Linked DNA regions of Mytilus edulis. The protein of the gene in region 2 interacts with the protein of the main gene of each other region in a biochemical or structural test. Links are inferred from orthologs where the notes say so. Each region holds a gene or a part of one and is shown on either strand. Other genes may lie near its edges. The genes, in order: cAMP-regulated phosphoprotein 19-like and serine/threonine-protein kinase greatwall-like.

Region 1 (17,199 bases), on a different chromosome or scaffold from region 2:
CTGTGACCTTGATGCTTTTGGTTTTTGATTCCTAGCATTTTCTTTCTTGTTTCTTGATTCTATAATTTGTTACTGCAACTTTTACTCTCCTCCTGTTACATATACAGTTGATCCTGTGCCTGTTATTCCTTTGTTTAATTTATTTGGCCCTTTTACTTTTTGACCATAAGCCTTTTGATCTTTCAGTCTAATGTGGAGTGTTTGCTTTTTTGTTGTCTTATTCGGAGCCCATTTGTGTTTATATTGTGAGTTTCATAACCTTTTGCTTTTCTGTTTGGCCCTTTTACTTTTTGACCATAAGCCTTTTGATCTTTCAGTCTAATGTGGAGTTTTTGCTTTTTTGTTGTCTTATTCGGAGCCCATTTGTGTTTATATTGTAAGTTTCATAACCTTTTGCTTTTCTGTTTGGCCCTTTTACTTTTTGACCATAAGCCTTTTGATCTTTCAGTCTAATGTGGAGTTTTTGCTTTTTTGTTGTCTTATTCGGAGCCCATTTGTGTTTATATTGTAAGTTTCATAACCTTTTGCTTTTTTGTTTGGCCCTTTTACTTTTTTACCATAAGCCTTTTGATCTTTCAGTCGTCTAATTTGGAGTTTTTGCTTTTTTGTTGTCTTATTGGAGCCCATTTGTGTTTATATTGTAAGTTTCATAACCTTTTGCTTTTCTGTTTGGCCCTTTTACTTTTTGACCATAAGCCTTTTGATCTTTCAGTCTAATGTGGAGTTTTTGCTTTTTTGTTGTCTTATTCGGAGCCCTTTTGTGTTTATATTGTAAGTTTCATAACCTTTTGCTTTTCTGTTCTTTTATTTGGAGCCTACAACATTCTTGTTGTTCAATTCTGAATCTGAGCAGCATTTTCCATGTTTGATTCTGCATGCTTTTGTTTCATTCAATGTTTGATTTGGAGTTTATTGCTTTTATGTTGTTTATAAGCCTTTTGCTCTTCCTTAATGCTGATTGCTTAGTAAAGAAGCAGCAAAATATCAATTTTGAAGTATTAGGGTTTACCAGGCCGGTAATCAAACCTAGAACCTGCAGCACTTGAAGCAAGCGCAAAATCATAAGCTACCTGAGGCAGTTGACGTTACATTGACCATGAAAATGAGGTCTAAATAAGAAGAATTCTGACAAACAGACATCAACACTTTACATATATTACATTAATCAATTGGAGTTAACCTATTGATATCGTTTGTAGTATAAAACAGAATTTCCCAGGAAAAACAAGTAAGCATATCATTTGTGGACAATATAAGGAACTTATGTGCTCCTTTCTATGACTATGAACATGGCCGTTAGCAAAGAAAACTAAAATTAGTTTCATATTTATAATTACAATATGATTCTGTATGTACATAAACAAACATGACTTTTAAATTTAACAAATATATATATAATGTTTGTAAATAAACACAATAAGCAATGGTCTTTGCAAAAATGGCCTCTTTTAAGAATAGAAATAATAGCACTTACACTAACCAATTACTCAGAAATTTCTACCAGAACAAATTTGATAAATGGCAAATGCAATTCATACATCAAAAAATTGTATTAGTCTTCAATATCTAGAAACCTTCACCTTGGTTTTTTTCGGATCCTTTGCAAAATAGTTACATCATTACCATTAATGTATAAAAAGATTACTGTAGTTCACAAATACATTTTATCTCATCCAGGAAATGTCATTGCAAGTAAAACATTTGCTTGGTAAATCTATAAATAGTCTAAGAAATGATCAATCAATTTACAACATAACCATGCATACTCTAAATACATACAAACATAAATAACAAGAGAACAAGGTCATATAAATAATATTCTCTGCTTCCGAGCCGAAAGGTATTGATCTATTATATAGACACAAAACATTCAAAAAATTATTTTTTGTTTTTGTTTTCTTCCCTGCTTAGAGTCAAAAACATAAATCTTGAATAAGGTCATTGAAGTAATAGTTTTACTGATTGATTTTGAGTTTTCTGTGTCATGGTTTGAGGAATGTTTTTATCCTTTTCAATTTTGTTTTGTATATCAACAGAGAATTTGAATAATACTTGGAATACCAAATATACACACTACAGGACTTTGAAAAAAAATAATAATCTTGATTTATTTGCCAACTTCATTTACTCAACTCTTTATCTGTTTTAGTGTTTATATAATTGTGATTTCAAAGCAAATTATAAAAAAACAATTTTTGCAGTAGAAATCTTTTCAATTAATGAAATTTTAATGTGATTACATGTGTTCTGAAATCTCTTAAAAAGCAATAATTATTAGTATAAAAAGTATGAAAGCTTTCGTTTATCTCTGTTATTCAGTTCACAACAAACAGTTACACATTTACTTTGTATAAGTAGTATCCCATAATCTTGATTATGACAAATAATTACAACTGTCCGTCATGTCTATACAAAATTAAAAACAAAAACAAATGATCTCTTTGAAAAAAATGAAATCAGAAAACTTAAGAATTCTTACCAAAAAATAAAGAAAAATTCCCAATACAAAAGTATTGTTTGAAACACAATCCCTATAAATACATGTACAAACAGTACAAAATACCAATATTTAATGTTTTATTAATTGATATATAGTAACTTAGCAATTGACTTTTTGATTGGGAAAAATGACTTCTGGAAATATAATTGACTGCGAGCCTCAGATTCAAAAGCTTATTAATTTAAAGCAAAACTACATGTAACAGCAAAAACAATCATTTTTTTTTATAAAAATATGAAATACTTTTGTGCACTTCAACATTCACCCATTTCATATCTCGATTTTAATTAGATGTTATTGTTAGTTACAATATCATAATTTGGGGACAATTTTATCTTCAATAAATATTGCACTATTCTGTCAATTATTAGTCAATGTCAGAGAAACAACATCACTACAATGATGGTCTTTTCTAACTTGTTCTGTTACCATGGTCACATGAACAAAACAATGGCAGATTCTCTCAATTTGTTCAGCTACCTTGGTAACATGAAAAAAACAAATGGCAGATTTTCTAACTTGTTCTGTTACCATGGTAACATGAACAAAGCATTGGTAAATTCTCAAATTGGCTAGTTACCATGGAAACAGGAACACAATGATGGTAGATAAATTAACTTGTTCAGTTACAGTTTCAATTACATTTCATTTCATTCAATCAGTTCTCAATTAAATATGGTAGTGGTACATGTATGTGTAGCATTCAAATATATATTTTTTGTCTTCTTAACCTAAACAAATGTTAAGAACCTGTGCCTTCTTAATTCATTTTTTTTTCAAATTGTATCCTGTTATCTTGGTTTCATTTTACAAATTTACTCTTCAACTAACAACTTTTTCCTACATTGAATCTACCAGCCTGAAGTTTCAAGATTAAAAATAACAGTAATTATTTACTCTCTTAAATGTTCTCATAGTATTCATATAAAATAATAAATTATTGTTAAACTCAAGCCAGAATATGACTCAGTAAAAGAATCCAAAAGTAATGGCAATCAAGAAACCAGTTTCTGATTAGAAAATTTAAAGAACTGTGGACCAATCATACTTTTGTACAGGCCTGACACCACTTTTTTTCCTTATTTAAACCATCTATCATGATCATTGACATACTATTTCTCTGAAAATGAATAACTTAAATTGATCAAAAATGTACATGTTTATATACCATGAAAATTCATTTTACTTCTCAAAAAATAATTGAACATGTGTTTATAATTTTTGTTTTACACTTGAAATACTGTATATGGACCTTAAAGAAATGTGATGCTCTTGAACAACTTGGCAAGCATACAGTGGAAGCAGACAGACAATACACTTTGTGTGTCCTTACTGTCAATCACTTAAATCTACCAATATTGTGGCATCCCTGATTTCTATGACTCTGGATGAATGTAACATCTATGACAATTCTCCTTCTGCTAATCTACTCTGTATGATGGAGGGTTTTCTAGGAGGTAAGGATTCTGGTGTCGGGATAGCATCTCCAATTGATTCCTGTAATATCATCTTTTCTGTGGGCGCCAAAGGGGTCTTTGGGTTGTTCATCTTAGCTTTGGCCATATTGTAATCTCCGGAATCAAAATACTTTTGCTAAAAAAGAATTAAAATAATCTTATTAAATATATATACATACATACATGTATCCATCATTTTCTATAGCAGATTAGTTATAATTTTGCATGATTAAAGACAGGCAGATAGACAAGAGTGCAAACCTTAAGTCCTCTTTGTCTTCGTTGGTAGGGATATCTACTTTTTTCACACTCAAGTTTTTGCCCATCTCTTTCAGTCTTTGTAAGGAATGTCTTATCCATCTTGTTTTGTACAGCACTATGCAATTTAATTAGAGTTGTTCTTGATCAATGCTACAGTTTCTTTGTATAATTTTTGGCAATAGTCCTTACAGTCCATCTTAGTTTGAATACCGGTATTTCTACTTACCCCTCTCTGTAATCTCTTGGCCAATAGTCCTGATGGTCCACCTGGTTTCACATTGGGATATTTAGCTTTTAATTTGGCTTCTTCCATCATCATTTTCTCCTATCAAAATTAAATACTTTATATGTTAGTTAATCATGTTTCTCTGTTTGATATGTAATTATAAGCTGATTTCGAAGAGATTAAATGTGATGGTCAAGAAAATGGAAGTCCTCACTTAATCATGTTAATGCAAGTAAATGTAAAAGTCAGGTAAAGTTAGTTTTCTTGTTTGAATTGTTTTGCATTTGTCATTTCAAGGCCTTTTATAGCTGACTGTTCATTATGCAGTATGGGCTTTGCTCATTTTTGTATGCTGAGCATTGACCTATAGCTGTTTATTTCTGTACGTGTGGCACTTGTCTCTTGTGAAGAGTTGTCTCATTTGCAATCATACATTGTCATATGCATACTACATCTTATTTTTTTATATGTGTTCCAGACCGTATGAGTATTTGCACCGTATGCGTACTTTTTCAAAATACTCATACGGTCTGACTAATATTAAGAAGTTGGTGAAGTTTATTAAATACAAATGCATATAACAAATCAACATAACGTAACTCTCAAATTGTTATAAAAAAGTGCAACTGTAATTGAAAAAAAAACTTTATATTTTAACTATTTAACAGATTCATGCTTTTTAAATCTGTTAATCTCTTGTATAAAGTATGTCGATCAGTAATAGTTAACATGAATTGAATAAGATCACTGAAATTGAAGATATATCGGAAGTAAACATAATGTAAGAGAACAACTGTTTTCGAATATTTAGCAACTTTATCAAAAAATGTAAAATGCATAAACTGCAAACATTTAAATGTAAAAAATTTACGTTACTTGTGGAAGCAAGCGTCACCTTGGGTGAGAGTCCCAAAATATATAGGATTCAGATATACAATTAAAAAACTATTTAATTTCAATAGTTCGTTTGTTCATTTAATCCATCTAATTGTAATAATAACAATTTGTAAAACTAAAAAAAAAAAGATTGTGATAAATGTTTGTTTAAATTTAACCCATATGATGACATGTATGGTTAGCTCGTACTGGACCATACGCGTATACTCATACGGTCCGACCGTACGAGTATACGTATATGGTCCAAATACTCATATGGTCTCATATACTAAGAGATGATCTAGTTTTACAATAAATGGATAATATTAAAAATTAGTAAAACTGTTTGATCTTTTAATATTTTTTTCTTTAGAGTGGGGTGCTAATTTTCGCCACATCTTTCCATGTTTTCTACAGTTTATGTTCAGGTCTAAATGTTTTTGAAGTATACTGATATTTCTATATGAACATTGAAGATAACTTAAAATGCAAAATATACTTAAGGCCACACCAATTTAATTCCTTGTTCAACGGACCCACCCGCACTTATTTTTTTCAAAACAGATTTTTTAAAATTTTTATTATATTCCCTCTTCCTGCATCCGGAAATGTAATCATGTCCATTTCCCGCACCGTTTTTTTGTAAATATTAGAAAAAGATCTCAACATTTGTTTTTAAAATCACAGTATATTCTTTATATAACGATTTAAAACCTATAAGCAACCCACAACACTGTAAATATCTGTGAGAATATTTGTTTCAGCATGAAACAAATTTGTTCAAAGTGGGAGTGCCACGATATAAATATATAACACCGGAAATACCTGTACAGAACAAAACATTGGTTTCTTTCCCCCTGACTTATGTTCCCTATCAAAAAAGTTCGTTGTTAAAATAAAATACATGTACAAAGAATTTCTGAAGGATTTGCCTTCAACTGCAATTATAATGTATTCTGACGGTCATACCCGCTGCAGGTTTGTACACCTGTCCTGATTGATTAGGGACCTGTCGTTCAGCAGTTATCGTTTGTTAATGTGGTTCATTGGTATTTTCCCGTTTGGAAATATAAATTAGATCGTTGGTTTTCCTGTTCGAATTGTGTACAATTCTAAGTTGTGGTCCCTTATAGCTTGCTGTTTGGTCTGGATCAAATCTCTGTGTAAAAGGCCGTACTTTGACCTATGTTTGTTATTATCAGGTTATTCCTCAGACAAGGGCCTTGAACATGTTGAAGGGGTCATTTTTCCATGTTTACTGTTGAGTGTTGTAGAAAAGAAAAAAGAAATACTAAGGATTTGTATAGTGCTACTATACAAAACCTTTGAAAACTTTTTTTACTCAAAAAGAGGAGAAATACATTATATTTAAATTACACTACTTTTCTAAAAGAGGTGTTCACTTATTTTGAATAATATTAAACTGTTAAAGTAAATGTGTTAACATGGTTAAAGTCCAGGAATATTACAAATTTCTTGGACATGTTTTGACCATTAAATACCATATAGATATTATAGTTTTTTGAGAAAATATTAGCCCTTTTGTACTAAAAGGCTTTTTACAATTTTTTTTTTATTACAACTTATATTAACCCCTCATAAAAGGGATATTCATAACATTAACAGATTAAGGGGTTGTTCTGTACCTGATTATGACTTGGATGGAGAATTGTCTCATTGTCAGTCACACATACATATAGACCAGATTTAATTATTCAATTATTTCTTGTTGAACAGGGAAAAATACTTCATACCATAAATTAAAGAAATGTCAAGGTACAAGTGATAAATTAAGTTTTAATATAGTCAAAACATACTTTTTTATGTTTACAAAAAAAAATTAGAATCGCTCGCCTTTCATGCCTTTACTTTTTAAGCTTCGCCTCAAGAATTTGCAAATTAAATATTTTTTTATTTAAATTTTCAAATCGCTCGCTCGCCCCAATTTTTGGAGTCCAAAAATCCGTAGAACAAGAAATTAAATTGGTGTGGCTTAAGCTTGAAAACCGGTTTGTTTTAAGAAAATCATCTGAAAAGTTAGATTAAAGGGTGTTTGAAATTTCCGGATGTTTTGTCAATGGGGGACACATATTCGCCGTTTTTACACATCTATTTAAAACCAAATAACCACAAATTTTTATCAAATCAATTGCATTATAGATGAATAGCAGACATTTCAAAGGTATAATGAATTCAAAATTAGGGCATTCAGTCAAATATTTTCTTAGAAATACTTCTTTGAAATCGTGTTTTTTATTCAGGAAATTGTCCGAAAATCGTTGTCCGTTTTTCGGTCATTTTCGGTAGGAGCCGCAATTTTGTTTCAGTTTAAAAAAATATTATATTTGTTATAAAAATATAATTTTACGGGTACATTTCTTCCATTTCAGCCATCCTTTGAAGTTTTTACACCTCAAAATCCTTAAACGGCGAAATTGTGTCCCCGGCGAAAATGAGCACCCCATTCTATCATGAATTTATAGCAGGTATTCATAATCACATATATTTATCTTGTGGCACAATAATCAAGTGAGTGAAATATATAACATGAATGAACTTAAGTGTAAAAAACAAGTTTCATTGCATGATAAAACTAGTAATCATGGTAATAATTATGATAATAGTGCTAGAACAAATAAACACATACAGATATGTATACATTTACAACATTGAAATTTGGAAGCCCAACTTTTTCCTACAATCATGACAATGGTCAGTGTTCCAGCTAGGATTTCAAAAGGGCAGGGTGTCAATCCTGAAAAAAGGGCATTTAACACGTGATATGATAATATGAAAAGGGCATGTTTTAAAAAAGATATTAATCACACATTGTGTTTATTCGTTGAAATCACCGTTCATACAAGAACTGACAAACTTGTCAAGCAGCTTGTCACACAAGTTTTTAAATCATTGCTTGGCACAGTTAAGCTTTATAGGCAGCATGTTTTGAAAGGTGTCCTGCATCATTCTGTTTCTATGGTCTGACACTCTTTACAATTTTCACCTTTCTACCTCTGCTGTGCTTAATCCTCAATCCTCAATCTTATGGCCTTATGGCACAACTCTTCTCATTGGTGCATATTACGCCCTATGTGTATCTTCCTCCATGTATTTTCCTCCATGTATTTTCCTCCTTAATGGCAATACAGCACAAAACAGCTGTGCTCAGAAAATGTACAATGTTAAGCAGTGATGTAAAACCTTTTCCAAATAATCCACAATATTGACTTGAAAAAAAATTGTTGATACACTACAAAATGATGATCAGAATAACCTCAACCTAAAATATTACTTACTTACTCTTTAAACCTCATAGCTTGTGTGGAAAGAAATAACTCTAACATGAAAATTATTCATTAAGAAATGAAAAATAAAACAAAACAAAAATGATGAAAAAAAGATCTCTTTTTGCACCGAAACTACTCATAGAACGAAACAAATGTTAATGTTTAACCTTTATCGTCATTGTTGTGGGTTCAGGTGCAACAAATTCTGGCTCTTTTCGATCTATTGTTCCTTCCGATGACATGTTTATCTTGTTTTGAAAGGCTCTCACTAATTTTACAATTGGAGATGGAGGCGCTCACACGGTATTGTAATATCAACCAATCAACAGCAAAGATTTAATTATCCTCTTTTAGTATGTGGTTTAGCCCAAAACCTAAAAGACATCACGAGTAGAAAGGAACTAATCTAAAATTTTAACATTTTTAAAGTGCACTTATAAATGCAGCATAATTACAATTCAATTATCGCTACAAGACAAAGCACACAATACTTTATGGATGTACTTAAGGATGTACAGAATATTTTTTTTATTTCCCAAATTGCAGGGCCCTTAAAGGGCATAAAATCAGATAACATTACATAATTGGTAACAACAACAATAATAGAGGCATATACATATATATTTGGAATATAAGCATTGGTCAGAATCAAGCTAAAAAACACATATATATATTGTGAATAAAAGAATAATAAAATTACATTATACATGTACATGTATTTATTCTCAAATTATTTACTTGACTTAGTGTCAGTGTTCATACCTGATCTCATTAATTCAAAACAGTCACATATATAACAGCCCAGTTTTTCCATAAGAGTAACATTTTCTTGGGTCAAGAGCCATACAAATTTAGAAGATTTATTTAAATTTATAAAATTATAACAATTGTTAGAAATGTCTTGAAAAAAATCGTCCCTTTGAATATCATAAAGAGGGCATTCTAATAAAAAAAATGAAGCTCATCTTCAACTTTACCAAGTAAGCAATTAGAACAAAGACGCTCAGATCTTTCTAAATGCTTTTTTGAATATCTGTCTGTCTCAGTTTTTAGAGTGAGCACTTATTCTTAATTTACAAATTGACTGTCTTTTTTTGAAGTCCTGCAATTCTAAATATTTTTCTTTTTTAAAACAATTTTTTTATAAAAAAATAAGTACCAAGCTTTCCTTTTTCGGAGTTAATTGTTTGATACTTAAGTTTATTGCAAAATGTGAAATAACTTTTACATAGTTTATTTTTAACATACTGACATAAAGAACCAATTGCATGATTGGTCAAAATTTGGTAATTCAATCTATCTCTGAATATAATCTATACTAGAACACCATGTATTTACATTAGAGCTATGTAACTGTTTACAACATATAAATGCATCAAATAATAATCCTTCTTTCAAATGCTCCAGTCTATGACAATATTTTAACATTGATAAAATTATAGTAAAATACATAGGAAATCTACCAAGCTCTGACATTACAGCTATATTACTTGACTTTCTGTTTACACCAAGAATATATTTCATAAATTTGGTATGAGCTTTTTCAGAAGAATCCTGACCAAAGACTTTTTCTAATATATAATCATTATCTTTTTTACAAGCAGCTGAATCCGTTCTAAACATTCCCCATATTTCACTGCCATATAATAAATAGTATGGGTTTAATTGTATGATCATAAAGATGTAAAAAAGTGGCAATACTAGGGTTACACCTCTAAGGAGCAAAATATTTCTAGAATTAAGCTTTTTTTCTTAACCTGATTTTTGGGTTTAAAAGACTGTAAAAAAATAATTGCGACATATCAGAAACAGGAGCAATGAGAGATCGGTTTTTAATTAGATTACGCGACATATCAGAAACAGGAGCGATGAGAGATCGGTTTTTAATTAGATTGATTTTGATGCTGTATTTCATTTTTTTGGGGTTAAATATGATTGAAAAAATACATATCTAAGAAATTTGAAAAACAACATGATTCTTATAAAATCATTTTTTTGTACCCCTCACTTATTTTCACAAAATTTTGGCTAAAAAGACTGACTTGTTTGGTCTTAAAATTCGAAAACTGTATTATTGAAAAACTTTTCATTGTAAATACACAATTTTTTTGCACAGAGTTATGTTTGATTATAACGTAACGGTACCAAATTGCACCTATTTAGCAAAACTAGCCGCGAAAATCTTACAATTTGTATTTTTATGATTTGATACTTATAGCACATCTTTCAACATAGTTAAAACTATTTAGATATGCACAAAACGTTCACCGTATTTATCAACAGATGAAGTGTTTACTGAAAAAGCAAAATGTACTGAAACGTCGCCATGCGACGTCACCAAAACGCGGTCATCTGTTTAAAATGAGCAAATGCAATGTATGTTGCAAGTACCCATTTAAAAAAAATGAAGAGTAATATCCAATTGTTTAAAATATTTGTTGAAATTAAACAAAAGCTCTGTTATTAGACTTTTGACGATGTGAATTAAAGCATGAATGCAATTTGGGTACTCCTCATTTCAGAATAATTGATGGTTTGGAGGTCAGTTTAGACCAATTTTTCTATGATTCCATATGGAATAAAAATCAAATTGGTGTACCTTTATAATAAAGAAGGATACGGCTACGAAATAAACACAGACATTTTTGTCTTTATCATAAAAAAAACGTAGATGAAAAAACTGTCAAAATAGGTGCAATTTGGGTACAGTCACGTTAACATTTTTAAAATTTATTGATATTTTCCACTTGTATCACATGTTTTGGAAATAATTCCAGAACGAGATTTCAACGAGACTGAAAGTGAAATGTTAAAAAATACATTAAGAATTTAAAATTGATACTTTACATCCGGAAGAGCATTAGATATACATGGATAAAAATAAGCTAAAAATATTGATATGTCATGGAACTCCTTTTCGAGATATTTGATTTTTATTAAAATATGTCGGGAAAAGGCTGACTCGGACTTTCACCTTATATTTGCATTATCATTATTTGGGTCTCAAACCTGAAGAAAGAAAATCTGTTTAAAATTCTGGTAAATGACCGTTATGAGGATCCCGCTTTTTTGTTGCTTTCACATATGTGTTGTGTTTATTGAAACAGATAAAGTCCGAAATTACAAAAGAAAATCATTGATTACTGATTCCATGGATTCGTTTCAACCTTTCATTACATGACGGCGAATTGTTATATACTGAATTAAAGAATACAGAATTCACTGTACAACGTTTTTAATCCGTATGACCATCCGAAGCAGTCAAATAATTGTTCTCATTGGTGAATAACATTTTATCCTTACAAGTGTAATGACTCATGAGCCTTTCAAAACAACTCGATGAGGAAACGCTGGTTCAGGAAATATTATCAGCTTGGAACTTAAATATACACCACATGTGCAGTTATTGACCGAATGTTGCTACACAACTATATATAGAAAGTTCTGACATAAATCATCTTCAAATGCGTATGTTCCTTATTTCTACCTGAAAGTCAATGATATTTCGAAACAAAGTGACCTTATAGTCAGTAAAATATATCTCTCAATGAACCCCCACTGACACTATCTTGGTGTATTAACTGTTGATCAGTTAAGGTAGAAATAGTACACAAATGTGAGTTTTAAGATTAACGCCCATATCAAACTATAATTGATAAATATGTTAATCTTACAGAAATTTATATTGCAGCCCTGAATACTACATTGGACCATTCCAGTTAATATCTGCTAAAGGGGATGGATGGTCCTTTCTGAGGGGTGTAAAATTTATACATCTTAGGGTTGAAATTTGGTGTTTTTTTCATCTGACACGTACACTTATACGCAAAAATTTCTGAGGGTCTTGTAGCAGTAAATAATTAAAAATAATTACATCTTAGGGGTTTCAAAAATTACCTATTTCAGATCTTAGGGGTGTTTGGAATGCAGACAGTTTCGTATCATGCATTATCTGGTATTGTATTTAAAATTCTGATGGGTACAATCCTTGCAGTAAAATATTCTGATAGGTCAATTTTTCCCATGAAAGCCCATCCCCTAATATGAACTGAAACTCTACATCTGATAGGTCTTAATTTATAGATCTGATAGGTAGATTTTCATGATGTTTTTTTCTGATAGGTATGAAAAAAAATTCTCCCCATCCATCCCCACCTGTCAGAAATTAACTGGAATGGCCCATTGTATTAGTGTCAAGTTTAAATAGAGTTGTCGCGCTTCTTCTATATATATCATCATTTGCTAAAATATAGTTACCATAGCTCTAAGAACAGAGACAAGACAAAAATTGAAAAGAATTTTCTTTAAAGGTACAACGTAACACACGTTTTTAACCAATAAGTAACAGGGTATCAGTCGAGCGCAAAAACGAGTACATTCGCGCTCAAAGTGTAATTTCACCTCTACAAATCAATTACCATAGATAAATATTAAAGAAAGTAAAGCACGAAATAAGTAACGAATAGGTAATATAACGAATAAGGAAAAAGGAAAAAGTAACGAATAGGTAACAAATAAGGAATAAGGAATAAGTAACGAATAAGGAATAAGTAACGAATAAGGAATAAGGAATAAGTAACCAACTTGAGGACCCTCACCATATATATATACATATAACTCATCTCCAATTCAGCCCAACAATATTAGTACTTCTGCAAATTTGCTTTCGCGATGTGTCCTCGATCATTTATTCCAATATCAGTGCAATAACTTTATAGTGCATGACTGGGTGTTTTAGTTTGATCTGTAGTAGAGAATCATGGAAAGTAAGTAGTTTACTATTGGAATGTTACTTTTTTGTACATTATTGTACGTAGTATAAAATTTACTCCGTTGACCGTTTGAAATCGAAAGAAAAACCAAATAGGTCTGCTTCAGTGGTTGTCGTTATGTTGTGTTATTATACATAATTATTTGTAATCATACATTTGTGTTTTTACATTATTTAATTAGGCAGGTATTTTTTCTCGATTGACTTGCTTTACATTTGTCATTCCGAGATCTGTTATAGCTGACTATGCGGTATGGGCTTTGCCCATTGTTGAAGGTCGTACGGTGACCCATATAGTTGTTTATGTCTGTGTTATTTAGTATCTTATGAAGAGTTGTCTCATTGACAATCATACCACATCTTCTTTTTTTATATTTTTATGCCCGAACACCATCCAGCTAATCAGAAAAACGAATTAGTAATACGTTTTAAGTTTCAATTTTCAATGAAACAATTTTGTTATTGAAATTCTTATTTTATATATTCCACTTTTGCTGGGGTTCGTGTTGTTCAGTCGTTGTTGGGTATTGCAGACTGTTATTTGTCTTTCGGATGTTAGCTGGGGTTCGTGTTGCTCAGTCGTTGTTGGGTATTGTAGACTGTTATTTGTCTTTCGGATGTTTTTCGTATGTTTGCCATTACAGTATGTTCGTTTTCGACTGATGGGTTTGGCTATTCCATTGGTATCTCCCACCTCGCTTTTATATTGTTCTTTAAAGGTGAAATGCTATGACTGGTGTCTAACAGTCATGATCGACTGATTTAACAAATAAAGCATAAAGCATAATGTTTTCATTGCTTCTATTAAGATGTTAACTCCTTATATATTGCCAGTAACATTTCTATGTTATGAACTTGAAAGGCCATTTTCAAGTCTTGAATGTCTCAAACTTAGGCGTCGGATAAAAACAAGTTATCTCGCTATGATGTGGGAACAAAAAACAAAGACATTTTAATATAGTTGTAGGGCGTGAGAATAGAAAAATTATTCGAATACTAGCTGGTTTTTCGGTTATTCAGTGTATGATCGATTATTGATTGCTTCATGGCATCCCTCAGTGTATTGAGTAAAGCTAAAACAAAAGTTGCCTTTCAATTTACATTACTTTATAAGGTACAAAGTCTGGTGTGTTTGCCATTCTCTAACCTAATAAGATACAAATTCTGGTGTGTTTGTCATTCTCTAACATAATAAGATACAAAGTCTGATGTGTTTGTCATTCTCTAACCTAATGAGATACAAAGTCTGGTGTGTTTGTCATTCTCTAACCTAATGAGATACAAAGTCTGGTGTGTTTGTCATTCTCTAACCTTATAAGATAGAAAGTCTGGTGTGTTTGTCATTCTCTAACCTAATAAGATACAAAGTCTGGTGTGTTTGTCATTTTCTAACCTAATAAGATACAAAGTCTGGTGTGTTTGTCATTCTCTAATCTTACAAGATACAAAGTCTGGTGTGTTTGTCATTCTCTAACCTTATAAGATACAAAGTCTGGTGTGTTTGTCATTCTCTAATCTAATAATATACAAAGTCTGGTGTGTTTGTCATTCTCTAACCTAATAAGATACAAAGTCTGGTGTGTTTGTCATTCTCTAATCTTATAAGATACAAAGTCTGGTGTGTTTGTCATTCTCTAACCTAATAAGATACAAAGTCTGGTGTGTTTGCCATTCTCTAATCTTATAAGATACAGAGTCTGGTGTGTTTGTCATTCTCTAATCTAATAAGATACAAAGTCTGGTGTGTTTGTCATTTCTTGATTTCCGTTGAAGGACATAGGAGAGAACAACAGAAACAAACAATAGCATTGTGGGCAACAACAGAATCAGGAAGTCTATATATTTCATTTTATATGCTGTAGAAATCGTTCTTTAATATTTTGATATCTGAGCTTGGCAGCTTACACTGTTTCGGTCATGGGTCTCATATAGGAATTGTGTACCCGTATGGCACACCGTTATTATATTTATTCAATTTCCAGATATCTTATTTAGTTAAATAAGATATCTTATAAACTAATTGAGATATCTTAATAACAAAATGAGATATCTTATATATTAATTGAGATATCTGATTTATTAAATAAGATATCTTCTATATTAAATAAGATATCTTATTAAAATGTTTATAAAGATATCTTATTAAATATATAAGATATCTTATTTAAAATATAAGATAACTCTATTAATGTATAAGATATCTTATTAACTATATAAGATATCTTTTATATAGTTAATAATAGAGATATCTTATTTACTTAATAAGATATCTCCATAAGTTAATAAGATATCTCTAGTAGATTATAAGATATCTCTATTAATTAATAAGATATCTCTATTAGTTTATAAGATATCTCTATTAATTAATAAGATATCTTATAAAGTATGTATTTAAAAGATATCTTTATAAAGAAGTAAGATATCTTATATAATTTATAAGATATCTTATTAATTAATAGAGATATCTTATTAACTTATAGAGATATCTTATAAACTAATAGAGATATCTTATAAACTTTTAGAGAGATCTTATTAACTTATAGAGATATCTTATTAACTTATAGAGATATCTTATAAACTAATAGAGATATCTTATAAACTTTTAGATATATCTTATTAACTTATAGAGATATCTTATTTAATTGATTATAAAGATATCTTATTTAATATATAAGATATCTCCATAAGTTAATAAGATATCTCTATTAGTTTATAAGATATCTCTATTAATTAATAAGATATCTTATAAAGTATGTATTTAAAAGATATCTTTATAAAGAAGTAAGATATCTTATATACTTTATAAGATATCTTATTAATTAATAGAGATATCTTATTAACTTATAGAGATATCTAATAAACAAATAGAGATATCTTATAAACTAATAGAGATATCTTATAAACTAATAGAGATATCTTATTTACTTTCAAATTAAATAAGATATCTTATAAAAATTAAAGATATCTAATACTTAATAAGATATCTTGTTAAATAAATAAGATATCTTCAAATTTGAATAAATATAAAAACGGCGTGCCATATATCCGTATCCTTGCAAAAGGCACATCCCATATAATTTCTTGCAACTAGTTGCTATCTAGACGGATGAAACTGAATCAAGAGTTTCTAGCGGTAAAGTTGAAGTGAATCAAGAGTTTCTAGCGGTAAAGTTGAAGTGAATCAAGAGTTTCTAGCGGTAAAGTTGAAGTGAATCAAAAGTTTCTCGCGGTAAAGTTGAAGTGAATCAAGAGTTTATAGCGGTAAAGTTGAAGTGAATCAAGAGTTTATAGCGGTAAAGTTGAAGTGAATCAAGTTTTAAGCGGTAAAGTTTAAGTGAATCAAGAGTTTCTAGCGGTAAAGTTGAAGTGAATCAAAAGTTTCTAGCGGTAAAGTTGAAGTGAATCAAGAGTTTCTCGCGGTAAAGTTGAAGTGAATCAAGAGTTTATAGCGGTAAAGTTGAAGTGAATCAAGAGTTTATAGCGGTAAAGTTGAAGTGAATCAAGTTTCTAGCGGTAAAGTTGAAGTGAATCAAGAGTTTCTAGTGGTAAAGTTGAAGTATAGTTTTTGAAATTGTTATGAACACCAACATTAAACTTTTTAGTTATCAAAGAATGTCTCTCTCTAATAGATACCACCCATAGATTTATTAATGGTGAGGGAACATATTGATGATATTGATATATATACCGATCATAGATTTATTATTTATCAGGGAAAATATTGATGATATTGATATAGTTTTATGAAAGCTCATCATACAAAAGAGCGAAAAGAAAATTGTTATATCCTGTGGGATGTAATTTCAATAAGACAAATAGCA
Region 2 (17,296 bases):
AAAACAACAGCAGAAGGTCACCAACAGGTCTTCAATGTAGCGAGAAATTCCCGCACCCGGAGGTGTCCTTCAGCTGGCCCCTAAACAAATATATACTAGTCCAGTGATAATGAACGCCATACTAATTTCCAAATGTACACAAGAAACTAAAATTAAAATAATACAAGACTAACAAAGGCCAGAGGCTCCTGACTTGGGACAGGCGCAAAAATGCGGCGGGGTTAAACATGTTTGTGAGATCTCAACCCTCCCCCTATACCTCTAACCAATGTAGAAAAGTAAACGCATAACAATACGCACATTAAAATTCAGTTCAAGAGAAGTCCGAGTCTGATGTCAGAAGATGTAACCAAAGAAAATAAACAAAATGACAATAATACATAAATAACAACAGACTACTAGCAGTTAACTGACATGCCAGCTCCAGACTTCAATTAAACTGACTGAAAGATTATGATTTCATCATATGAACATCAGGCACAATCCTTCCCGTTAGGGGTTTAGTATCATACCATCATAACATATATGAGAAGAACATTATCCGTGTCATGCCAACAACTGTTTTTAGAATAAATGTGTTTAGTTCCGATGCAAAGACCTTATCAGTGACTCAATATTAACGCCAACATATGCAATCTTTAATGACTTGACAACAGTATCGTAATTATATCCCTTCTTAATAAGTCTATTCAAAGGTTTTGTAAGTTTCTGAGGTGAATACTGACATCTTTGTGCTTTATAAAGAATATTTCCATAAAAAATTGGATGTGAAATACCTGAACGTATTAGAAGTCTGCATGTTGAGCTATATTTACGAATGATGTCTTTATACCGATGATAAAATTTAGTAAATGTTTTTACTAGTTTGTGATATCGAAAACCCTGGTGTAATAATTTTTCAGTAATACATAAATTTCTCTCGTTAAAATCTAAAACATTGTTACATACACGAGCGAATCGTACAAGTTGAGATATATAAACACCGTAAGATGGTGACAAGGGAACGTCACCATCTAAAAACGGATAATTAACGATAGGAAATGAAAAATCATCCCTTTTATCATAAATTTTAGTATTCAGCTTTCCATTAGTTATATAGATATCAAGATCGAGAAAAAGGCAGTGGTCATTGTTAGTATTAGCTTTATTTAAAGCATTATGTGCCTGTACCAAGTCAGGAGTCTGTAATTCAATGGTTGTCGTTTGTGGCTGTGTATCATATTTGGTTTTCGTTCATTATTTTGAACATACAGTATGCCGTTAGTTTTCTCGTTTGAATTGTTTTACATTTGTCATATCGGGGCCTTTTATAGCCGACTATGCGGTCAGATTTTACTCATTGTTATAGGCCGTACGCTAAATATATAGTTCTTTATTTTTGTGTCAGTAAATCTGTTGTGGAGAGTTATCTCATTGGCAATCATACCACATTTTCTTATCATTTTTATATACAAGACAGTTAAATGAGGTTAGAACTAGTCCGATATTACTCTGACGTCCCACGGCCCCAGCTTGTCTGGCAAAACAGCCGTTGGACGTCAGAGTAATCTCGGACTAGGTTAGAACCTGTCGCAGGTAATTGATTCGACAGGAATGGTTTCAAAGACATGCGCTATCAACTGATCTAAAGTGCATGTTCTTTGAATGACAAAAACAAAGCTTTTAGGGTATGTCTTTAAATTAACAGTGTGAGAATTATTTTTTCTAGGTCTAGTTGTATCGGTTATAGAACATGAACACTTTAGAATGAAACTTCTCTACAAACAAAAGAAAAATATCGCTAATGACCTGAAGAAAGTTAAATCTGAAGCCAAAGTCCTAAAGGTACGTATATATATACATTGATATAAAATACATGTAATAGAGAGTCGAAGGATACAAAAGTGATAGTCAAATAGTTCATTTATTTCGTCGAGATTTGTTGAACTTCGTTTGCCAATCCGTCCCCCCCCCATCGGTCCCCCCATCGATGTCCATTATTGAATCGACTATGTTTTCTTTCTTTTTTGCCATGACAGTACATTCTATACATTTTATATATTAAACAATAAGTACCTGAGGGAAAAAAAGGAACAGTTCGTTATTCTTCCATTAAATATAAATTCTTCAATACTTCGGGATTAAATACGTGTTTTATACCTGGAAAGAAAACAGTCCTGACAACTAATTTTTTTTATCCATTAACAGGTTTCGCAAAAGTATTTTGTTTTCTTCAAATTAAGCTCAACTGTTTAACATAAATAGGCTTTTTAAAAGCTTTTCTTATTTTTAGCAATGTTTGGATATTGTACAGAAGATGGCGATAGACGGAGGAATTCCACAAGAGAAAATATCTCAACATTTAGGTACGTATTTAAGTGCATGTGGATTTGAAAGAAACAATCAGTTAAAAGATTTCAGTTAACAATAAAGAATATATATAATGATTTAAATATTTAAGGAATAAATAACAAATAAACAAAGCATCATTTATACCAATTTGTCATATTAAAAAAGTATCGGAAGATACCAAGGGAATATTCAAAACTCGTAATTTGAATGAAACTGACAACGCAATGACAAATAAAACGAAAAACGTCGTATAACACAAACAACTTCACAAAACACAGCATATATTAAACAAAGTCTGAACAATACGAACTCACTTAATCTTGGTGGGATATAAAGTGTTCCGGAATGCTGGATAAGTAGATTCTGCTCCAATAGGATACTCGGCGTCGTCTTACTCGTAGTAACTTCAGATTTGGTGTTGTTACGATCGGGAAATAGAGGGTGGAATTGTGGTTACGACCATTTGAACATACCATGGGCAAGGTCCGTAACGATCAGCCAGCTCGTGATGGAGTCCATTTAACTTTCAAAAGGATGGCTTTAACTTTTAGCGCTTGAAACCCTGATCAAATATTATATCCGTATAAGCAAAACATTTCTATCAAGGAAATCATTATAGAAAACTTAAGGGAGCCCCGGTCACAACAGATCGTACGATTTTTTTGTCGTGGAAGATCTATAAAAAAGTTGTCGTGGCAATGTCGTGCAAAATGTCAAACAATATTTCGAGTGGTCACATCAGCTACGACATGTCCATGATGGGTACACGACAGAGAAAAAAGAATTGCCAGGCTCCATCCTCATGAATCCAACGAAATCATCGACAGACTCCCGCTCCAACTCTAGCATCAGTGTATACTATTCTGCCTAAACATAAGGCGCCGTTCGATCCATGGACTAACCCACCATCGTCGGGCGTTTCACTGGTTCCTATAATGTTCACGGGCTCGAATTAACGCTAACAGGACCATATTTTGCTCTTGTTAGAGTCCGGCAAGGCGTCTATTTAGCAGGATCAACCGTAATCGTTCTGGTGGAATAGTCATCCTCTTTAAACGACAGACGGTATGTTTTCCCAAACATTCATTCCCGCCGAATTGTATTCTTCTGAATAAAACAAAAATATGTTGCACGACGAACGTACCACTGTCGTACGACAGACAATCAATGTTGTGCGAGTATCGTACGAAACTTGGATATGCGTGAGACAATCATGCGACCGTATCACGAGTGTCTTGCGACAGTCGTAGGATTGTCATCTTGCAACAGTTGTACGATTTTTCTTTATTAAAATGGTTAATGTTGGTACCCACGACAATGCGTTTATCGCATGACAGTCGCACGACAGTGGTAAGACACTACCACGACAACCACAAGACCGTGACACGATAAAAAATCGTAGAGCAAAAAAGTTGCATGTCCAATTTTCGTCCCACGACACACGACAGCGCCACGATGCTCACAATATCGTGCGACTGTCGTACGATGACCACAAATGACCAACGATTTGACCAATTTTCATGTCGTGGCGCTGCATAGATGTATTGTGGGACGGTGGGGTCGTTGTGACCAGGGCTTAAGCTCTAGAATGTCGTATCATATAGTAGGTATATACTCCGAATGCAGGCGCTGTTGGAATTTTGTAACATATAAATGGAAAGTTCACAATCAAAAAGCTAAAATCATCCCATTTGTCGACATACTTTTTTCTCAACCAACAATCATTGTCAATACCATATGTAAGTCAAAATATATGTCGTTATATGAGGAACTTTGAAGTACACCTACCAAATATATTATTTTGTAGTTTTTTTTACATTTTATGTAGCACGATGAACTGTATCGATTGTCTCGTGTTACGTATCATCTCAAATATTTGGAATTTCCAAATCGGTCTTTTATGCCGAATGGTTTACTTTTAAAAATTGTTATTTGGATGGAGAGTTGTCTCATTGGCACTCATACCACATCTTCCTATATCTGTTGTCTTATTAGAAAACATGCTGTGTGTGCATGTCTCAGTGGAAGAAATATTGAAGACAAGATTTTGCTTGCAGAATTTTTGTTGGAAGGAAAATCATTTTAACCTTAATAAATATGTACAGTATTACATCTAAGCATGTATTTTAAGGCTTTTTAAAAATCTTTGGAATATATGATTTGATCGTTGGTTTACCTGTTTGAATTGTTTAACACTAGTCATGTTGGGGCCCATTATAGTTTGTTGTTTGGTGTGAGCCAATACACTGTGTTGAAGGTCGTACTTTGACCTATGATTGTTAGCTTTTTATACATTGTGACTTATATGAAGAGTTGTCTTACCATATCTTCTTATTTATAAGAACAAATGTGTGGAATTTAATTCAATCATCATCTTCTTGTTGTTTGTTTTTCAGCTTTTCTTCAACAGAAACAGAACAAGAAAAGTAAATTATCAATGTCTCCATTCAGGAAATCGACGGAAGTACTACCCTTAGAGAATGGCACATTTAGTCCAACAGTATATAACTACGCAGATGAAGACAACAATACAATATCTAACGGCACAGACAACAATACAATATCTAACGGCACAGACAACAATACAATATCTAACGGCACAGACAACAATACAATATCTAACGGCACAGACAACAATGTGGTTTAGTCAACTACTGTTGTAGCGCGAGAATTGCATTCAAATAAAGCTATTTTTATAAAGAGTGTAAATATAATTGCATTCGAATAAGCCAGAAAAGATATTGTAAAAAGTGTCAAAAAAGTGCTGTTTTGCAAGTGCAATAGTTGATCATGAATTATAAATAAAATGTATTCAGTCCGAGGTAGCTTTTCAATGACAAAGAAGTCTCGAGAGAGAGAAAAAAAAACGAACTGTATAGGAAGTTGTTGCTAAGAAAAAAAATTTCTACTTAAGATATTATTTTACATGTAGATAAACTGCACAAGTAGTTAATCTTTTTTGTATAGCATAACCTAATTTTAAGGTTGAATTTATTCATTTTTTAACCATTTTTATATCATTTTCTGTATCATTTACATGTTGTATTGAGAACTATATTTATATTAAAAAACCTTTACAGCTTGTTTACACACAGTAATTCGCCTTTATACATAGCGCATTTCTTCAATTTACTGGTTCGTTTGTTGCAGAACTAATCAACATGAGCGTTCCCGGAAATGTTTAGTAGCTGGAATTAGGTCAAAATTATATGTCAACTAGTTCATAGTTAAAATCTGATAATGACGAATTTCACCATTATGTTGTTCTTCATTTCTGTCTATTATGTTGCAAACTGTAATAGATAGATAGAAACTTTAAAACCAAAAAATCTCTGCCATATAAGATCTACTCTCAATATCAGCATACCAATTATAAACCTGCAAATGTGCATGTCATTGTTCACTCACCATTGTCAAACTAGATGTATAAATAAAGGGTATGGATCTCATTTAAAAAAGTGTCTAACCCCGCCGCATTGTTGCGCCTGTCCCAAGTCGGGAGCCTCTGGCCTTTGTTAATCTTGTATATATATTTTTTAAATTTTTGTACATTTATATGTATGAGAGTTTAGTGTGACGTCCATTTTCGCTGAACTAGTACATATTTTTGTTCAGAGTCCAGTTTTCTTGTTGTGTAAAAGACCAATTGGTGGTTTTGGGCTGTTTTCTGTTCTTTGGTCGGGTTGTTGTCTTATTCCTCATTTCCATTCCCAGTTTCATGTATCATATGATCGACAGTGGCGTTCATTTTACAACAAGTTTAAAACGGTTTTGAATCATTCAAAAGACTATAGATTGGTTTTTTCTACCCCAGTCAAAGTTAGCATTAGACGTATTTGACCCAACTTTTTGAATTAACTTGATTTTCAAGTTTTGTCAACTTCGTTTTCTGTTTGGCTGGTTTGGAACTTTTTTTTATTCAAGCGACATTTATGTGGCTTACGAAACGCGCATTTAGCTAGGTTCACACTGCCGATCAGACCAACTCGATGATCCCGATTGTTCAAATTTCCACGACCAAGCGGAACCAAATTCTTGATTGGGCCTGTTAACGACTTCTTCCCGGCTAGCTAGACCAAATCAACTATACTCGATCTCAGCCTGATCTAGGCCAGACCAGATCGACATGATCGTATAGGGGTCGGAGGCCGGTCTATATCACCCGCTACAGCGGAGGGGGCATTAAGTGTTTCCCTTGTCCGTCCGTAAGTACTATACGTACGTCCAAACAATTAGTTTCCGTTCTCTAATTTTATTTTACTCAATCCAATTCTATGAAACGTTTGAACAATGCTTAATACCATAAAACACAGATCAAGTGAAACTGTTTCCATATATCTTTCACAAATTCAAATAAAAATCATTAGTCTTTCGTCTCATCTCTTTTTTTTTAAATGCGCCAAAAAGCATTTGAAAAAAGTGTTTGTAAACATTCGACCGTACGTTGACATAACGCCGGTAATTTCTGTGTCATTTGATCTACTGTGGAGAGTTGTCTCATTTTCAATTATACCACATCTTCGATTTTTTACTACAAAAATTTCCGGACAGTCAAACAAAAATCATCCCAGGTTTTATTTGGTTTCGTGTTACTAAGTTTTTAGTTTTCTATGTTGTATTATGTGGACTGTTGTTTGTCTTCTCGTCGGCTTTCGTTTTTCGCTATGGCTGTGTCGGTTTGTCTTCGACCTTTGAATTTGATTGTTCCTTTAGTATCTTTTGTCTCTCTTTTATAATTTTACACCTCCTTGCAAAAGTACAGACGCGAACTGTACATGGAGGAATTTGCGTATAGTTAAAAAATAAATAGAGACAATAATATAGTTTTGCAGAAGCAAAGTTACGGGAGTTAATCAGAGTTGCACACATATTTAGAGAGTGTTTGGCCGAGAAGAGACCGAAGAGTGGTCGAATGTGGTCGTGTAGAAATCGGGTATTGGTCGAGTTGGGATGTAAAAAACATAGAAGTCGCAAGTGATTATGAAGCGATCGGGTATTGGTCGAGTAAATCTGGACCACATATCGAACAGGTTGGCGTTGATCGAGAAATGATCGGAAATAAGTCGAGTATAGATCGAAATGATCGAGTACTGGTCGGTAAACTATTTGTATACCGAACAAACTCGATCTATACACGATCCTTTTCCGATTAATTCGACAACTACTCGACAAATTCTCGATCTCTTCTCGAAAGACTGGCTTCTCTATCCTTACTCGAATGTTTTTGACATGTCAAAAACTCTCGGGTAGAAAGTCATATCGATGACGACCAAGGTAGACAAGCCCGAACATTCATGTCGATTGAGTCAGACCAGTCTCCCGATCGCTTAATTTGTCTTGATCGGGATTGATCGAGTTGGTCCGATCGGCAGTGTGAACCTAGCTGTACCTACTTATGATATAAAGATAACATGTAGTATGATTGCCTATCAGAACACTCTCCACAAGATACCACAAGGCAGTTAAATTAACAACTATTATAGTTCCCCGTCAAAAATAAACAAAACTCATTCCGCATAGTCAGATCTAAATGGCCCCGAAATGACAATGTAAAACAATTCAACAATATATGTACAAAATAAAGACCGAAAAAATAAACATGACATACTGCAACAAACGACAACCATTGCACTACAGGCGCCTGGCTTGGGACAGACACATACCATACATAATGTGGCAGGATAAACTAGTTTGAAGGCGTCAGCCCTCTAAAACCTGTAACGGTGGCGTAACAGATAAACATAATGGTTTACTTTTATAACTTGTTATTTAGATGGAGAGTTGTCTCATTGACACTCATACCACATCTTCCTATATCTATAAGAACAAATTAAAAATCAGTTGAAAAGGCCTGTCATATCGTCGATCCTTTTTTAAACACTGGATCGATAACTGGTGGTGGACGTTTAGTTTCATCCTAAAGGTATCACCAGCCCGATCGTCAGCGCGTGTGTGTTGTGTTGACATGAAATATCACAGATATAGTTACGTTCATTTTCTGCAAATTCAATGCACTAAAATATTTGTATCCCCGGTCGAAGATAGCCTCAACTGTCCTTAACTTTTATTTAAGATTTTATTTGGTTTTCAATGTATATTAACTTCATATTCAATTTGGCTTACCAACTGTCGAAGGCAACTGGCAAGTCTGACGAAGACGAAATGCAGGTGGAACTAATCATAACCCTGGTATCTGCGATCATCTTTTACATGCTTTTAAAAGGATAATTTATTTCTAAAGTTGAAATCAATTAGATCGTGTTTCGTAAACATATAGTGAATAGGTACATTCTGGGTTTTTTTCTCGGACTGTTTGTTACGTCTTTTCATTAAATTCATCGAATGTTAGATGTAAACTGATAGATCTAGGATGCATAATTTTTTGTTGGTTTTAAGCTATAGCTGTTAGTAACTGCTAGTACTCTCAGATCTGTGTTTATATAGTGTCTTTCAGTTGTGTGAATGTATGACCCGTCCACGCCATCTCTGTGTTTTTGTTAGTGTATTTGCCTTGCTCATTGTTGAAGGCCGTACGGTTCCCTATATTTCTTAATTTCTGTGTCATTTTGATCTCTCGTGGAAAATTGTCTCATTTGCAATCGTACCACATCTTATTTTTTATATATTTAAGTTTGTCCAAATATTTAGATCCATACAACCAGTGGTAGCAGTTCTTATGCTAAAGCCTTATTTAGTGTATCGGATATACACGAAGATCTTTATAAGGTTGGATTTTAAGTGGAAACTTATTGATCCTCCAATAATTTATATCAATGTCGATTTTATTACGACAAAGATCTTGATTTTGGAATGAAATAAGTTTCCACGTAATTATAAACCTTGTTTATAAGATCTTTTTGTCTATATAGTATATACCAATGCAAAGTACTTTCTTAAATTAAAGAGGACTATTTTTTCTTCTGATGGTTTTCTTTTCGATGTACTTCTTTTTTGTCATGGTATTGTCAGATTTTTTTTAAATTTATGATTGTGTATAGAATCAAATTTCTACACCCTAATGTCTTATAACAGAATTCGATTATTTTCAGCGGATTTTATTTTTCATATGTAACTGACTTTGACCATACTAGAGGATCATATACTGTTTATCCTTCAGTGAATACTTACACATAGAAATCCCAAGTAACTGACTTTGACCATGCTAGAGGAGCATATACTGTTTATCCTTCAGTGAATACTTACATTTAGTGATTGTACAGAGTATCCCACTAGTCTTTATTTTTTGTGCAGTGTTTTGGGGATTATGTTTATTGTTTATTGTTTGTGTTTGTGTTTTTATTCTATTATCATGTCATTTTCTATCATCTGTTGACAAATGATTTCTGTTTAAATTATTATTCAGGTAAGTAACCGAAACTGATTCTTACTGTTAATAAATTTTTAAACAGTGAAGCTTTGTTTGGAAAAGATCTACAAGTCAGAATATGCTTCTCTGAGGTCTTTTTTCTTTTGAAACGGCTAATGCTCAACAGACTGTTTCTAGATATTATGTGAAAGTTGACTTGTTTTACAGTGATTTATAGGAAACGGAAAATGGGAAAAGTTATTGACTCTCTTACAAGACGGAATCAAGACTCAAACTCAAATCAACTTTTTTCTTTTAATCGTAGGATTATATCATAAGCCAAAGGACATGATTATATGATTCGGGGTACTGGCTAGGCGCATAAAAGTATCCCACTAGGATAGACAAATTTTTTAAATATAATACAGAACTGCCGCGTGTTCAATAGAGGCTTTTCATTTAACAGATGTCTATTTTATAGGGTTAGACTTTAAACTTTAAACATAATCAAAATATTGTGAAATATTAAAAAATTAAAAGACTTGAATTGATTCAGTGTGTCCGATAATTTATTTCATTTTTTTAGAACGTCAAACAAGGTTAATTCTTAAATACGAAGCGAAAAAATGCCGAGACTAGCGCTCATGTGTCAATCATTTAATTTTGAGGTCATGATATTTATTTCTTTTAAATACAAGTCATATATTTTTGTTCGTCCTACGAAAAAATATTCCAGCAACTTTTATGTTTAAAATGAAATATTTTTATGAAATTTTATTACTAACAGTAATTAAGACTCAATTGATTTTTATAGCCATATTATCATTTTTTTTGCACAGAAACACTTATGTGTCTTTAATTAAATAAGTGTTTTTTTTCTAAAGTATGAATCATTTATGACCCCCCTTTTTTTTATACATTTCATTAACTAAAGAGACATTTCGATATATATATATATATATATATATATATATATATATATGATTAGAAAAATTCATTCGCTTCAGACAGACAAGAAATAGTTTGGACGGAATTTGATTTAAAAATGTGTTATTATATGAAATATTAGCAAAAGTTTGAAATGGTGAACTCTTTTGATTCGACTCGGAATGTCTTTTATTTTTTTAATTTATATATTTTTGTAACTAATTTTCTAATTCAAAAACAATCTTCAAGGGATATAAATTTATTAATCCAGTAACCAAATTATGTTCTATGATATCAAGCCTGTCCCTACAAATGTAATTTAGGGATTGAGTCGTTAATAACCCTATAGTAATTAATTTACTTAATATCCCAAAACTTATTGATATTACCCGAAAACTCTAATTTATAACAAAAATCATTTCACTCCAATTAATTGAAAATCAAATTCAATATGAGTGATATTAACGTATGTATCAAAATAACAGTCTTTTATCAAGATATAATCTGTATGAAAGGACTATAAACCCCATATCATATATAAATTGAGTTTTCGCGTAAAATTTAGAGGGCTGCAAATGATTACCTCCCTTGACATTGCTTTTTAGTACAGGAGATTTGATTGGTTCTTGGCGCTTTAATGCAAATATGAAAAATGTAAACAAGACACAATTTTGTGAATGAGGGAAATTGGAAAAGAATTAACAGGACAAACATGGAACAAGTCAAAGACTTTATTGTAAAGGTGAAAATTTATGTCATTGTACAAAAACTAAGATTGCAGCTGTCTCGAGACGGAAGGTGATCTATCCACACTAGGTCACAGCCACAGGCACATGTGTCTCGGGCTCTTTGGGGCATTGAGTGACACCCCAGGGGCGGATCCAGCCATTTAAAAAGGGGGGGTTTCCCAACCAAGGATAAAGGGGGGGTTCCAACTATATGTTCCCTTTCAAATGCATTGAGCGACAAAAAAAGGGGGGTTTCAACCTCCCAGACCCCCCATGACCCCCCCCCCCCCCCTGGATCCGCCAATGCACCCCCTGTAGACATGATAGAAGTTGCTGGAATTTCCAGTCATCATTTATAACCTCAAGCCCTATGAAATAAAAGAGATAACTATATTTAATTTTAGTTTTGTTAGAGAAATAAGTGGAAATATTACAAGCAAATCGGGTAAACAGGATGTAACCGTAGTCCAAATAATTATGATGTCTTGGAAGGCTATTTCAAATTTTTGCTTTGATGCCTTCCTGAGTATAATTGAAATATAATTGACCTAGATACACAGTGTACAGTGGTCGTTTTCAAACAAATATAATTGCGTAAAGACCTGTATAAATGACCAAAAAACTTTCGAGACGTTCCAAGAATTTTATTCTGGCTTCCAGCAGAGAGATATCCAGAGGCCCATAGACACATCCAAAACTCGCCAATATATACGCATGAAACCCCTCAGGGGGTTCATGCAAAATTTTTAAATTTTTTTTTTATTTTTCTACTGAAATACATGTAGGGGACTTCGTCCCCATATAATAAAAAGGTTTTTATAACTTAAAAATGATATATAAAAAGCAGGTAAGTTGAAAGTTCACAAAGATTGTTTTAAATATAGTATTTCCATCCAACATGGCGACCAAGGATAACATGGATAACGCATACATGTATACCATGTGACATGGTCGCCGTCTTGGATGTTCACACTTATTGACACTATATTTATAACGATCTTTATAATACAAATACATTTTGTACTCCAAAAAAACAAAACAAAACCACTGACCATGCTGACCATGTTCCAAAAGCATTGATAGGAAAAGCTAAGAAAATTTAATGTACATACATGTAAGTATTCATGTTAATATGAAATGTTTTTCAGCCTCCAGATATAGAAGATTTTGATTTCATAAAGCCTATCAGTAGAGGAGCATTTGGGTAAGTAACTGTAAGTTACATGTAAAAATAAGAGCATGAAGAAAATGTATTATTGTCAATAAGACAACTCTCCATCAGAGACCAAATGAAGTAGAAGTCAATAACTGAAGGATATTGTACAGCCTTCAACAATGAGCAAAACTCGAACTGCATAATATACTATAAAAATCCAATAAATGACAATTGTAAAACAATTTGATTGAAAAAACTAAAGGCCTGATTGATGTACAAAAAAAAAAACCAAAAATGAGGGGAAAAAAAAGTATTATATACAGCAACAAACAGAACATAATAAGAAAAACTATGCAAATCAGTTGAAAAGTGCTTAACTCATCAGATCTATACACCATGTACACCATGTACATGATGTACACAGAACATAAAAACCCTTAAAAAAACCCTCAAAAAACACATGCTCAAATAAACAAAGATTCAGCGCTCTAATTTAAAGCCAGGAAGTAGGCATATGATCTGTTAAATTTAATATTCACATTCTTTGTTAGGCTCACAAAGTTTTACAAATAAGGGTTAGGTAGTTTTTGAAATGTGTGTATTTTATGTTTAAATTCAAACAATCAGTTACAAGTTGTCCACTACAAAATAGGTATAAGTCCCCTACCAAGGAATTTGAAGGGGACTTTAGTTTTGCACTATGTTTGGTCTGTCTGTCTTAAATATATTGATTTGATATTTGGTATATTGTTTGATCATGACAAGTTACAGATCAAATTTCAAATTCAGTTACATATCATGCGCTCATGGCACAGCTGTTTGATTTAGTACAGAGAGTGTGTAAGGTCTATCCAAAATTATTGAAATACCTTGAATGCTTTTTATGTTTTATTTTGTACATGAATTGTATTTCATCACTATTTCAGGAAAGTTTTCTTAGGATGTAAAAAGATTGACAGAAATAAGATCTATGCCATTAAAGTTATGAAAAAGGCAAACATGGTACAGAAAAATCTAGGGGATCAAGGTAAGTTTCATTAAGACAAAGTTTATATTCAACATAAAAATAGAAAATGTGGCATGATTGCCAATGAGTGGTTTCTCTTTCAGAGACGAACTGATGTAGAAGTAAGCAATAGAAAAAAGACCAATGAGACAACTCTCCATCCAAGTCACATTATATATGTAACCAATTATAGGACAAAGCCTTTAATCACACCGAACAACAAAGCTATAATGGGCTCCGAAATAACTAGTGCATGTAGTGTAAAACAATTCAAACAGGAAAACTAATAGTCTAATCTATATAAAAAATGAGAAATCATCATGAACCACATCAACAAACGACAAAAATTAAACAACATGCTTTTATCAGTATGGGGACTTACTGAAATAAGTGATTTTTAAATCACTTATTTGAGAAGCAAATTCGAGGTTTTGTCACAAATTGGGATTTTGTAGTTTTTTCAAAATTTTAAACACATATGGTCTAAATAACATCTTTTAATTAGTAAAATTAAAAAACATGAACTTTTTGCTTCTTTTAAGTAGCAAGGTTTATGCCTTTGATGCTATCATTTACCTGAAAATTCTATTTTAGTTCAAAAAATGCTATAATTATGGCTGTACATAATGAACTGATACTTTCTTAAAAGATTTTTCACAGCAGTGGGAGTATTTTTCCTGTGAAGTTCAAGGTTTCATCTTTCAGATTATGTAATAAAATTCTACTGTTCGCGATAAAAATTTCACTGTTCGGGGGTGTTGAAATTAATGGGGGTTATTAAAAGAAGTGATTTTTGGGAAGGAAATTGAGGTCTGATACTTAAACAAGTGATTTTTATGTCATTATCCTAGATTCAGTACAAGGTCATTACCTGAAATGACCTGGTCATCCTAGACAACACAGATGTTGGTTCTGATAAGTTTAGAAACATAATTAGTCCCTGGATCATTAGTATTCTATATTTAAAGCTACACTAATATTAAATCACTTCTTCTAGTGATTAATTTGTACTACTTAAATAGGTGATTATTAAAGAAAGACAACTCTAATTCCAACCTTTATGGAAATAATGTTACTTGAATCAGTGATTTAGAAAATCACTTGTTCAAGTAAGTCCCCTGACTGATTTTTTTGTTTATAGATAACCATACAGCCTCCAATAAGGAGCATGAACCAGACCACATAAGCAGTGTAGAATTGAGCAAAAATAGTGGAAAAGGCTTAACAGAAATCATGGCATATTTTTCAGAAAAAAATACAATATCTGACCACTGGGTCAGACATACATGTTCATACACCTGCAGTTGGACATTCCCAAATCATATTTTTCATATTACAAAACAGATTCAACATAGTGGTTTTGGTACATCACATTTAATGAATAACTAAATTTGATTATTGGTACTTATACAACAATATTAATATATGATATTTGTTTTAATTCCTGCTCTGTTAGTGATGCCTGACATCTTATTCTTGTGAAAATTGTTTTTTGTCTTCTGAATGTATTTTTTTTTCCATTTTAGTTTTGGCAGAAAGAGATGCAATGGCCCAGGCCACCAGTCCGTTTATTGTACACTTGTTTTACTCATTACAGTCAAAACAGAATATCTATTTGGTAGGCTTATCATATTATACATATATTTCCAATATTTAAAAGTATAAATATAAAAAAAAATCAGCTTCTCATACAATGTATGTTATACATATATTATTTTCGGACACAAAAAGAAAATCCATGTAAATGAAGGAAGATGTGGTGTGATTGGCAATGGGGCAACTCTTCACAAGAGACCAAATGACACAGAAATTCACAACTATAGGGGACCATCCAGCCTTCAATAATGAGCAAAGCCCATACCACATAGTCAGCTATAGAAGGCTCATCAATTGAAAAAAAAAGCAGTGGATGTCCTAGGCACAGGAAACATAAAGATGTCCACAAACATCAGAAAACTTTGAAACATTTTTAGTATTTTTTTTGTAGGATGTTAGCAGATTTACTATTTTTCGGATCTTTGGAACAATATTACATTTGTCAAAAATAAAGTTAATTATTTATGGGTTGAGTAATTTATTTGAAAAAAGTATAAAAACGTGATTGCTGTTGGTTTGGATTATCCTCTCATTTCTGTTATATATATTTTATTTTCTCTAATTCTATGGAAAGGGATAAGGGCCGATTTTGACCTCAAATTTCAGATGTATCTAACGAAAGATTTCGGACACTTTTTAAACACTTGAGTGTCTAATTCAGTTGATTCAATTAATTTATGTGAAAAATTTTAACTGATTTAGCCATTAAAAACGCTCTGATTCAAGCTTAAATATGAAAAATCTATCAAATATGCCAAAATATGTCACTTTTTAGATGGTTTTTGTCAAAAATGAAAGTGGCCGCATCCGTGTTCATCCTCAACCTTTATATATGTTATGTATTATCATCAAATCCCACTTTCATTTCAATATTAAAAATGAACACAAATGCGACCAATTTAATTTAAGACGGAAACTGTCTGAAATTTAACTAAAAGGCTAAAATTGTGAAGATTTCAGTAATTTAGCATGACTTAATGATGCTAGTACCCGATATATGTGCATTGTATTGTCAAAAAACAGCCCATATTTATGTAGCAGAAGCATTCTACTTTCCAATAAATAACTAAAAGTTTACATTTTAACAATTTTGAAAAATGCTATATTTTGGGGCCAAAAAGGGTTTTGCTGGACCTACTCCTTCATCCCTAATAAAACTCATTGTATTTAAAAGTTTAATCAAGGTGTGGTTACCGGTGATCTCATAAGATGATTGGATATATTTAAGAGTCATAACCTTTACCAACACACTGGATGTATCAAAATATGCTAACAGGTGTTAACGAAATTGACAACTTTGTGGAAAGTGGAAGGCAATTTTGGTTTAGCAAAAAGAAAAATTTATGTTTTAATCATTACAGAAACAGATACTCACATAGTTACTCATGGATTATTTGATTTATCCAATCTCGATAGTTAAATTATAAATTTTAAAGTCCTCGCCGAGGCCTTTAACTTTAAAATTGATAATTTAACCATCTCGATTGAATAAATCCAATAATCCACTGATATCAATGTAAAAATCTATTTGTAACCTATTTTCAGGTGATGGAATATTTGATAGGTGGAGATGTTAAAAGTTTACTAGGAATCTATGGATTTTTTGACGAGGATATGGCCATGTTGTTAGCAGCTGAAGTAACATTGGCCTTAGAATATCTTAATTCCAGAGGCATTATACATAGGTAGGTTTAAATGACAGGAAACTGTGTGCTGTATTCCTTCCAAGAATTAGCTAATTGGTAACATATAAAGGCCTATTAAATTAGCTTTGACATTTAATTCATTGTATGGAATAAATAAAAAGAGTTGTCCAAAAGCAATTATTTATAGGGAGATAACGATAGACAAGTTTTCCCCACCTTTACACACACTCACTCACACACAATCACATAGTAACAAGCTTATATAGTACCAATACTCAAATCTCAGTTCAAAGTAGAAATGGAAGTATAAAATAATTGATTACTTTAAATAACCAGTAGATCTATAATTTATACAAAATTTTCAGACCCTCACTGGTACTGGTTATAAAAATAAGGAGATATGGTGTGATTGCTAATGAGTCAACTATCCATCAAATTAAATGAAGTGGATGTAAGCAGTTATAAGCTACTGAAAGACCTTCAACAATGAGAAAAACCTGCACTGTATGGTTGGCTATAAAAGACCCCTACATGAAAAATATGAAACAAGTAAATTGAGAGATCTAACAGCCTAATTTGTAACAAAACAATTTACAAAAA

The links.
Region 1: of the proteins of serine/threonine-protein kinase greatwall-like (region 2) and cAMP-regulated phosphoprotein 19-like, one has a biochemical effect on the other in vitro, tested with the Drosophila melanogaster proteins (2 studies listed by BioGRID). The link is inferred for Mytilus edulis from reciprocal best matches to the Drosophila melanogaster genes gwl and endos.

The regions. Positions count from the first base shown.
Region 1 is NC_092347.1:89,973,350-89,990,548, forward strand, and holds cAMP-regulated phosphoprotein 19-like, read right to left. Parts: upstream 8,937-17,199; 5' UTR 8,850-8,936; coding exon 8,775-8,849; intron 4,544-8,774; coding exon 4,445-4,543; intron 4,094-4,444; coding exon 3,902-4,093; 3' UTR 1,316-3,901; downstream 1-1,315.
Region 2 is NC_092350.1:35,709,433-35,726,728, reverse strand, and holds the start of serine/threonine-protein kinase greatwall-like, read left to right. Parts: upstream 1-11,176; 5' UTR 11,177-11,276; coding exon 11,277-11,306; intron 11,307-12,440; coding exon 12,441-12,496; intron 12,497-13,374; coding exon 13,375-13,475; intron 13,476-14,980; coding exon 14,981-15,072; intron 15,073-16,595; coding exon 16,596-16,735; intron 16,736-17,296. Other genes in the region: uncharacterized protein, read left to right, coding at 1,709-1,824, 2,273-2,345, 4,728-4,978.